Linked DNA regions of Kluyveromyces lactis. The protein of the gene in region 1 interacts with the protein of each later gene in a pairwise test. Links are inferred from orthologs where the notes say so. Each region holds a gene or a part of one and is shown in the gene's direction. Other genes may lie near its edges.

Evidence for each region. The genes of interacting proteins can lie anywhere in the genome.
Region 2: the proteins of TRM112 (region 1) and TRM11 interact in binary tests that used the Saccharomyces cerevisiae proteins (3 or more experiments, as listed by UniProt). The link is inferred for Kluyveromyces lactis from reciprocal best matches to the Saccharomyces cerevisiae genes TRM112 and TRM11.
Region 3: the proteins of TRM112 (region 1) and TRM9 interact in binary tests that used the Saccharomyces cerevisiae proteins (3 or more experiments, as listed by UniProt). The link is inferred for Kluyveromyces lactis from reciprocal best matches to the Saccharomyces cerevisiae genes TRM112 and TRM9.

What each region holds. Positions count from the first base shown.
Region 1 is NC_006039.1:1,637,204-1,640,451, forward strand, and holds TRM112 (RNA methylation protein TRM112), read left to right. Parts: upstream 1-1,712; coding exon 1,713-2,111; downstream 2,112-3,248. Other genes in the region: ERG26 (sterol-4-alpha-carboxylate 3-dehydrogenase (decarboxylating)), read right to left, coding at 1-286; KLLA0_C18568g (serine/threonine-protein kinase), read left to right, coding at 2,755-3,248. UniProt on the Saccharomyces cerevisiae protein: Acts as an activator of both rRNA/tRNA and protein methyltransferases. Together with methyltransferase MTQ2, required for the methylation of eRF1 on 'Gln-182'.
Region 2 is NC_006039.1:1,091,406-1,095,432, reverse strand, and holds TRM11 (tRNA (guanine-N2-)-methyltransferase), read left to right. Parts: upstream 1-1,868; coding exon 1,869-3,182; downstream 3,183-4,027. Other genes in the region: HRP1 (Hrp1p), read right to left, coding at 1-859; Rab family GTPase YPT11, read right to left, coding at 3,417-4,027. UniProt on the Saccharomyces cerevisiae protein: Catalytic subunit of an S-adenosyl-L-methionine-dependent tRNA methyltransferase complex that mediates the methylation of the guanosine nucleotide at position 10 (m2G10) in tRNAs.
Region 3 is NC_006038.1:80,819-84,304, reverse strand, and holds TRM9 (tRNA (carboxymethyluridine(34)-5-O)-methyltransferase), read left to right. Parts: upstream 1-1,795; coding exon 1,796-2,641; downstream 2,642-3,486. Other genes in the region: GPI-anchor transamidase GPI17, read right to left, coding at 1-1,333; UBX2 (Ubx2p), read left to right, coding at 3,011-3,486. UniProt on the Saccharomyces cerevisiae protein: Required for the methylation of the wobble bases at position 34 in tRNA. Appears to have a role in stress-response.

The sequences.
Region 1 (3,248 bases):
CTTGACTATTACCATGCATTGGAGATGCCGAGTGAACGACGATCGTGGCACCACTTGTCTCAATTGCCTTTCTAACATCAGCAGGTGACGTTAGATCACCTTGATGGAAGGTAATTGTCGAAGGATCAAAAGTGAATTGTTTTGAGATCCGATCTGGAAGTGGTCTTACGTCAAAAACATGGATCTGAGGTTGTGGTTTAAGTTCAGAAAATTGCTGAATCAAATGGAGACCTAGAAATCCAGATCCACCAATTAGTAGTACAGATTTAACATCGCTTGAACTCATAGTAGTTGTTTGTTTTACGTAGACTCAACGTATGATAAGAATTCGATTTGCCTGGTGTGATCTTGAATATCGTGTTAACGTTAACTAATATTCTCTAATTGTTTTTTTTTCTGAATATTAAAACAGAACTAAACGACAAATTTAAAGTGTCTCCCAAATTGTGAAATGGTCGGATAGAAAGATAACGTACTAATTAATAGCCATTGGTTTCTCCTTTCCTATACTTAATGATCACAATAATTTAGGTTTCTTGATCTGTTAGTGGTTAGAGTGTTGTTAAGCCAGAGTTGTATTTTTGCTTTAACATACAATTAATTAGTTCATTTGTACATACAAATTGTCCATATGCAATAGAATCCTTAGATAATGGCAAATAATAAATAGAATAAATAAAAAAAATATTTTCAGAAAATAATAAAAAATAAGTTAAAATAAATTCTTCAAAAAAATACAAAAAACATAATTAAATTCTATAAAATAAAGCAAAATTCACTAAAATCAATCAAAAGTAACACAAATGTTAGCATTCAATAACAGTTCTACCTTCAAATAAATAGTAAAAACGCATAAACAGGAACGAAGATTATAGTACCTGCTCAACTTCTTGACAGTGGAGTCTGTCGTACGTAATGTATTCAAAAATTAAGTAAAATCATAAAACATCATGTGACTAAAATCAAATTTTACATTTTCTCTCTTTTTATATAAAATAAATTTCTAAACTTTTACTTTATTGCAATTAAAAATATTTTTTTATTAATTTTATATTGAAAAAATTTTAATTAAAATAATGTGGAATTTTGAATTTTTTAAAATAAAATATATGTTTTGAAAAATTTTAGTTTCCGAAAATTAATTTATTTATGGTATTTTGCTTAAGCATAAGAAGTGAAATTGGCTTAAAGCTCTAAAAAGGATAGGAGCCATCTTTTTATGTTTGCTGAGATCCGAAAAAACACTAGAGCAATGCCTCTCTTTTTTTTACGGATACATGGCTTTTCCTTTCTGTTATTTTAAGAGTAGCTTTGATTCATATGCTCAATGTGACAGGATAATATCTACAAGAATAATCTCAACAAAGAAAATAAAAAAAATTTAAAAAAATGTCTGTGAAACGATTAGCATGCTTGTCTGCCTCAAGATTGATTTAATTTTTGGAGTGTTAACGTTAGGTAGGAATGAATCAGATATTGAAGATTATAATACTTACATATTGTTCTTCATATGCATACCCTGCTTCTTTCTGGCATGGGAATCTTTTCTTTTCATTTCTGTAACATGAAAAATTAAAAACCGTAAAAATCGAATTATCAATGAATTCGAACAGAGTTGTTAATGCGATGAGATGAAGTGAGTCCCAATAAAATCAGCATCATTTTGTTATTGTGAATCGAATTATACCCGACCCATTAAACTAACTGCAGATATGAAATTCCTAACTACAAACTTCCTTAAATGTTCCGTGAAAGGATGCGATAACAGTAACCTGAATTTCCCACTTCGCTACGTTCGTGAAAATTGTCAACTAGAACAGGATGAGAGCATCGAATTCAACCCGGAGTTCCTTTTAAGAATAATTGACCGTGTTGATTGGCAAGCTGTAGTTTCAGTAGCATCAGATTTAGGAAATACTGAGCTACCACCCAACAAACCAGAATTTGAAGAGAATTTAACGGATGAGGACATGGTCATTCTAAGAGATCTGCACACACTGTTAATTCAAACTAACATTGTAGAGGGACAAATGCAATGCAAAAACTGTGAACACATATACTACATAAAAAACAGCATTCCAAACCTCCTTCTACCACCACATCTAGCATGAATATTCAAATCCAGCATCTATATATGTACATACAGTGAACTTTCTAGCTTAATAAAGAATAATTTCAGGTCACGTGTTATATCAGCTGACGACGAGGCTTTGACAATCAAAAGGCCCACATTGTTGAAGAGCCACCATGATGAAAATCCAGAAATGGAGAGAAAACAAGGTTTGTATGTTCGAAAAAAAGAGGGTTTTAATCCAGCCAGGAATGATTCTTAATTAAGTAAAGAGTGTTAAAATAAAATCCAGGATGCACCGTACTTCGCATAATTTTCGTTATTTTATTGTATTAGAGCTGTAGGAAGTAAGTTTTATTGAGTACTTTGCTAACACGAATAAAAGGTTGTCTTAAAACGCCCCGTGAATACACGTTTTCTTCGGTTAAATATTTTGCCAGGCTTTTCAATCCGGTTTGTTTCTATCAGTTTTATATTAACACCTGTTACAGCACCGGTACTTACTTGTATTTTGCTGTTTCTTTTGAGCCTGATATAATAATCATTGAAAGCCATATACTCTGTGGGGTTTTGTTGACCAAAACTTATAGTGATATTAATTTGCGGGTTAGTCTTTTTTGTCAATAGAGGTATTTCTCACGAGTTGATTATTGATACTAAAGTGTTACTTTGAATTATTTACCATGGATGGTGTGATGCTTGATAAAGTTGAGCTCAACCAACATGAAGTAGGGGCTGCAAGAGAACGGTCTAGAAGTATGGCTTCTTTGTCTAAATTCATTCCGAAATCAATATGGAAACCTCAACAACAGCAACAGCAGCAACAGCCTTCTGAAACCTCCGAAGGTAACACAAAAGCATCTAACAGCCATCCGGTAATGTTACATGCTTCTTTGCATGAAGCACCTGCTATTGTACTTCAAGAGGCGAAACCCGTATCTCGCGAATCCATAGAACAAGAAGGCGCTCCCGCAGAAAAGGCTGCAAGTGGAAACTCGTCAAAGTTGTCAATGAGACTAAAGAAAGTCTTTGGCAAAAAGGAACCATCGCAACCCCCTGTTGATTCCGAGTTGAGCCCTCCAGCTAGTAGTGAAGCTGCTGCTAATCATGATGCAAATGATACCACGAATACACTGAACAGAAATAGAACAAATTCCGACACTGATCCTGAACCTAA
Region 2 (4,027 bases), about 550 kb from region 1:
CAAATTCTTTTGGTCTGACGTCTGGACCAATACCACCAACGAAAATTTTACCAGTCTTATCTTGTTCTTCCCTTGGAATGGCTCTCTTTGGATCGATAACCTTACCGTCTAAGATATGTTGTGTTTTAACGACTTCATCGACACTAGAAGCGTTTTCAAATGTCAAGAACCCAAAACCTCTGGACCTACCGGTAGCAGTGTCCTTCATAATCTTAACTTCAGCGACTGCACCGTATTTGCTGAAGTAATCACGTAAACCCTCTTCGGTGGTTTCCCAATTTAGACCACCAATGAACATCTTGTTAATGTCACGAGACAAATCAGCTTTGATAGCCTTTGGTTCATGCTGAGATGCAGTTTGTTGCAATTGAGACATAGTCTGTTGCAATTGTTGCAACTGTGACATATCTGGCATACCTGGCATCTGTGGCATTTGAGGCATCTGCAGCATTTCAGGAACGGAAGCACTGTAGTTTTCCTTGTTATTGTTTTCAGCCTTGTCATTATTGGATGCAAGATTAGAATCTGGTTGATTATTTGAAGAGGCAACCTGCTGTTGCAGTTGTGACAGGTTAGATGACAAAGCCTGTAAAGCTGCTAGTTGATCTAATTGAGATGTTGCCGCGGTGGTGTTTGTGCTACTACTATTAGCCTCTTTATTGGTAGTTGAAGCTTGATCTTTGTGATCATCTGTCGAGCTATTACTAACGTTATTTTGATTATTATTACTTTGAGTATTATTTTGATTATCTGTAGATGTTGCAGTTGATGAAGTCGACTCGTTATTGTTCACCGTGGTTTGAGCGGTATTTTCATCACCGTAGATGTCGTTAAAATCTTCATCGTCTGATAAACTCATCTTGAATGCAATATTTCAATTTCTTCTTATTCGTCTACTTGTTGCACCGTTCACTTTACCACTTGGATTTTCTTAGTTCTGTACACTAAATATGATAAATCTGCAGTAAACGTTTGTAAATATAAGTACGATAACGCTGTGTAAGTTTCCTGCGCCGTTCCTCTTCCGCTCTACTTAAATGATCCTTGTTCTTTTTGTCTGTATGGGGATTTTATAGCTTAAACACAGCAACACACAGCAAAGTTTAATGTTATACGTTAAAAGTAGTAGTAGACGATAATAAAGTAATAACTGAGATCTAATACAGTACGAAAATAAAACAAATATGAGCTATTTCCGGTAACAATGGTTCCTCTCTCCTAGTTTGCAATTTCTAAAACTCTATTGAAAACAATCGGTATCTTATAAATGAAAAGAAAAAGAAAAAATACAGTGTAAATATTCTTTGTTCCGTTGATTATTTCGATTCGCTAATGATATACGGGTACTTCTATACTTTTGAATCCTATATCCTTCCCTAACTCGTTTTAGTGACTTGATTATCTCTTTAGACTGTCTAATCACCTGGAAAGTGGTAAACAAACAGGAAGAAACATTCTGCCCCTTCAATTTTTCTCCTGTACTGCTTTTATATTCAAATTAATTTTTTTTTTTTTCCAATGGCAACAACTTGGCCCCAAAAATTATTCGCTGTTCTTAGTGAAAAATTCATGCTTTAGGGCCTTTTTGGTTGTCATTTTGTCGATTTCGCCTTGCAAAAAAAGAAACTTTTTGACAACTCGTCCCAAAACTGCGCCCAAACAATCAGAAACACCGGGTAATGAAATCCTATATACCTTTCTTTACTCATTCAACGCCGACTTCAGCTAAACATGCAGAGAAAGCGAAATATCGAGATGAGCTGCGATGAGATGAGATCCTCTTTAATCGAAAGTGCGACTTCTCAGTTAATCACTTTTCGTACTTCCGGATTTAGAATTAATACAAACGCCAGTTATAACCATCATCTATGGCTAGGAAGCGGTATCTTTTGTTTATGGTGCAGGTGCACTTAAATTTCCGTCTAGCAGAATTGGAATCACTAGCGGATCTGCATGGAGTTGATGTCGACTTTTCGAGTTATTCTGTCGATTCACCATTCATGATAGTTACCTTGGAAAATGATAAGCAAGCCAGTGATTGGATTAGGAGATCGGTGCTTACAAGAGCCATTTATGAGTACTGGGGTGAAGGTAATACTTATGAGTCGTTGCACAAGAGTGTCCAAGCTCATCCCGAGTTTGAACAGTATAAGAGCGCAAATGAAAGAAAGAGTTTCAAGTTTGAATTTGAAAAGTTTGGTGGTAACGCGAAACAGGATATTTCTACGAGAGTGACAACCATTGAATCTTTCCAGTACCTTGAGTTGAAGGGACCCATCAAAATGAAAAATCCGGATGAAGTTTTTACGGTTATTGAAGAATACAAAGCTATCAGCGAAAATATCGGGGGTGAGGTTCCAGAAAAGATCTATTTCGGAAGGTTAATTCAACTAAGCGATCGTGCACGGGGTGCACTAGAGAAGTATGACTTGAAAAAGAGACCTTACAAAGGAACCACATCATTTGAAGCTGAATTATCACTGGTAAGTGCAAATATTGCACAGGTAAAACCAGCACATATAATGTATGATCCATTCGTTGGTACTGGTTCATTCCTGGTGGCTGGTGGCCATTATGGTGCTCTTGTCTTAGGGTCTGATATTGATGGTAGGATGATCAGAGGGAAGGGACAACAAACTATCAAGGCAAATTTCAAGTATTATAAAGAGTCTATCCAATTCCTGGACGTCATGACAATGGATTTTACGCATAATGCATTGAGAAAGGACTTTGTCATTGATACGATCCTTTGTGATCCTCCATACGGTATTAGAGAATCGATTAAAGTTCTTGGAGCAAAGGATCCGGAGAGATTTGCTGGGAAAGAGGATGTGGAAATTAACGGTCAAAAAGCTTATCTACTTAGAGACTATATTCCAACTAAAAAACCGTACTCTTTAGATTCCCTATTAGACGATTTGTTGGATTACGCAAGTCAAAGACTCCCCATTAATGGTAGATTGGCTTTCTGGATGCCCACTGCCAATGACGAGAATGTTGCAACTATAATTCCTCTTCATTCGAATTTGGAACTGAAGTATAACTGTGTTCAAGATTTCAATAAATGGTCTAGAAGATTATTGGTGTATATCAATAGAGGACACGAATTTAATGGACCCAACAATTCTGGTTTGAGTAGAACTGGTAATTTCAGAGATAGATACTTCAGCGGGTTCAATTGATATTATTGGACCTGATATAAGGCTAATAATAGACATCTGCTCACTCTAGCATTACACTATAATATGTATCATTAGTTAAAATACAAATTAATATTTATAAAATCGATATTATTACATTTATTATACACAAAGTTACAATGACTGACAATATTATACAATATTATACATATTCCTTGCATATCATCTTCCACTGCCAATACTTGGTATCATGACGCTATAACTTGAAATTCATTACTAAGTGCAGCAGGAACTCGTGGAGCCTGGGTTTGAACCATCGTCGTTTTGGTTATTCAATGGTTTATTCAAATCCACAGTTTTGGATTTATTCTTCATTAATCTCTGTCGCACGCCACGGGGAGTGCCTGGAATATCCTCCAAACTACTTTCACTATCTTCTGATTGGTCTGATGAAATTACTCTAAGCTCTCTGTCATCCTCATAACACCCGCTTTCTACCAAATCTTTAATAATAATATTGAATGTCCTTTCTACCACATTCTCCCATTTACAACTAACTTCAAAGTTACCTGATATTTTTATATTATAATCTTTCTCAATCCTGGAAATGAACTGAAGTACGTCTTCATGCGTAACTTTCCTTTCCTTATATAAATCGAGTTTGTTCCCCACTAGATAAAACCGTGTCATGCTCAAATTAGGAATATTCTCAATGGATTCAACCAACCAGAAGTTCAAGCAATTCAGGAAACTATTGAAGTCACATATATCATAACTTAAAATCACTCCATTAGATCCTTTATATAATGAAGAAATCATAGCATTCCTATATCTCTCTTGTCCAGCAGTGTCCCACATAATAACTCTGAAAAATCTATTGTCTATAT
Region 3 (3,486 bases), on another chromosome or scaffold:
CAAGTCTATTAGAGAGCCTTAATGCTTCGTTCCAGATTTCATCACTGCCAAGTTCGGGGTTGTTCAAAAGGTCCACGATCTGCAATCTGAGATTTAATGCATTGTTGACGTCTTCGAGAACTTCCCTTGGAATAGACATTTGTTGTAAATGATTCGTCATACTAACTAAAGAGGATAAAGTAGTGACACTTTTCTCCAAGTTATCAATAATGACTTTCCTCTTAAATGAGTCTATCCTAACTAATGGTGAGTTCATATCTTCAGCTACCTCACTCAATCCCAATAATTTGAAGATGTCGTGGGCAAAAGTTGAAATGACATCAGCAAGGTAGTCGTTTGTTATGTAAGCATTTGTTGGTAATGGATCTTTGTTTATCACAACAACACCCCACTGTGGTACTAAGAATGATTTCCAGTCAATACCATTTCCTGTCTCGTTGATAAAAGCTAAGGACCCAGTTTCAACTGAAGGAAAGACAATGGCTAGATTTATGGAATTTTGTTCCCGATAATGGTTCACGGAGAAGAGGTCAGACAAATCCAAAGTGTGAGAAAGATCATTCCAGGAAACGTATTCAGCGTTAGATAAAGAATGTAAATTCAAGTCGTTATGATACTCAATCCCTGTGTCAACGGTAAAGTTCACCAATGGAGAAAGGAGATCTCTAATTGGAGTGAAATATTCCCTTAAAGTAGCGTCAATATCCCAGGCAATAGGTTCCGCATCACCAGTTAAAAGGGAGATCGAGATATGGATGTTTGGGTCATAATTTACAGCCATGTTCCTGGATTTTGAGTCACTTTTAACAGAGTTCTGATGATATTTACTGAAATGCTCCCATTCTATCTTAAACGTGTGCTCTATTAGGGCCTGAGCGACGAAAAATGGAAGATCGTTGTTCACCAGGGATTCATCATTGAAAAATATAATAGTTTCTTTGGTCAATTGAGGTATCGTTAGTCCCATGGACTCATCCAAAACCAACTTGACCACATGATCGTTATTTGGATCTGTTTCGCCCTCTTTGAACGGTAGTATTTGCAACGACCACTGTACCTTTCTTTGGTGTTCATCAGCACTCTGTAATAGCTCATCCGCCTGTCTTTGAATGGCATCACATACATCAGGAAAGTTATATATATCCGATTGCACGTATACAGGGATAGTCAAATGGATATCTTCGTGGAGGTTTGCATGCAAACTCTCAATGTATTCTGCAGGTAGTGGTGCCCTGTATATGGTAGTCAATCTGTACCATAAAGGAACTCCAAGTAACACGTAGCAAAGCGCAAAGGATAGTGTTACAAGACGACGTAGAGTGACTGTACTCATCGTAAGGAAAGTTCAAAAAACACTGTATTCTTTTAGACTTGCTGTTGGGATCACGAATACCTTTGGAATAATTAGCGAAGTATTTTAGCCGAAACCTTCGAATGCTCTAATGAAATCAAGTTATCGACGAAACCTATTGCCGCAATTCCACTAGTCACTTTCCGATATACGCCTTTGAAGGAAAACTAATGGACGTTAGATATTAAGAAGCATAGCTTCTCTTGAATCGTTTCGAAATGTCGACTTATTTGTCGAACATTAATTTCAAATTGCATGGCTTAGTGTCTGTTTTCTGATTCGAACAACAGATATAACGAAAAAGTGAAAAAAATGGATAATGGCAGTATCAATGAGGTACAATACGTGCAAAAAGAATGAAGTTAAGATCACAGTTTCAGAGTATTTCTATATGCTCCTTAGATACAGCTAGACGCAGTGTAGTCTGTGGGGTTTTCAAATATAATGGCTGAATTGAAGGAAGAAGAATACGTGCACCAAGTGTACAACGATATTGCTCCGCATTTCTCACAAACCAGATATAAGCCATGGCCAATTGTATCGGAGTTTTTGATGTCTAGAGAGATGGGTTCTATCGGTATTGATGTTGGCTGTGGAAATGGGAAGTACCTTGCTGTGAACCCGAATGTTTTTATTTTAGGTTCAGATAGATCCTCGGGGTTAATTACGTGTGCACATGATATCAATTCACAGTACAATGTTCTAATTGCAGACGGGATCAAGCTACCTCATCGCGATAATACTTTCGATTTCGCTATATCCATTGCGGTGGTGCACCACTGGTCGACCAGAGAAAGAAGAGTTGGAGCCATAAGACATATCATCAGCAAAGTAAGACCCGGAGGAGAAGTTTTGATTTACTGCTGGGCATTGGAACAAGGTGATTCTAGAAGAGGGTATCGAGAGGGTATGGAACAAGACGTTTTAGTACCGTGGGTTTTACAAGATCAGAAGAGGGATACGGAAATTGATGAGAAATCTGGTAAAAAGGGCAAAATACAAGTCCCCAAGCCAGATTTATCCACCGTTCCTAAACATGAAAGATCTGAATTCTTGAACAAATGGAAACTAGAACAGGAAGCTCTCAGGCTAAAAAGAGAGCAGGAAATAGAGGAAGAGCGCAAGAAGCTCGAAAAGGAGACAAAATCCAACACGAAGTATCGTTACTACCATCTATATCGCGAGGGGGAACTAGAAGAGGATTGCCAAATGGCCGGAGGAATAATAGTTGGACAAGGTTACGAAAAGGATAATTGGTACGTAGTTGCTAGAAAGCCTGGCAACCCTTAACGATTGCTAATATAATATATAAACAGCATAAATATTACATCGAAATATACTTTTATAGACAACAGCTAGTACTCATTGCAATTTCTTTGTTTGGTTTATTAGTGTTTCTTACGATATTCTGACGGTGCACTAAATTTCTGTTTCGTTCTCATGAACATTTAACGAAAAAACGGGAAACTTTAACAGGCAGGCCAACTTAACCAGAAAAGTGCAGGAGGATATAGATTCGAGTTTACTGATAAGCTACATTAACTATACTGCATATATTAGCTGTGAATGTATAAAATTGACAACCCAGTATTTTTGGCATTGAGATCCGAATTAAAGTATATCTGCTTGAGCGTACTGTGATTTGTAACGAACCTTAAAATGCCAGTAATTGAACATAATGATCAACGATTTGAACTCTCCCACTCAGAAGAGCAAAAGCTCAACGAGTTTCAAATGATAACGTCTTTCCCCACTGATGAATTGCCTAATGTTATAAAGCTTCTACGCAATCATTCTTGGCAATTGGAACACGCTTTGGGTAGATATTTCGACGACAATTGGAAAGAAAATCTAGACTTTGCACCACAGCCTACACCCGCTCAAAACACAATTCCTGTCCAACAATCACAATCTGATGAGCGCCAGATCCTGGAAGATACGCGTTCAGAATTACCAATATCACTGAGAATCCCAAACATTTTGGAGAACCCGTTTGGAATGGTACCTAAACTACCCTTTATTCACAGATTACCATACAATTATAAAGAAAAATTCCAAATCATCGGATTAAACGGACAGCCAAATGCTACTGATGTATACTCGCGCAATTCTGTATTACTTGCCGTCTTATTTTT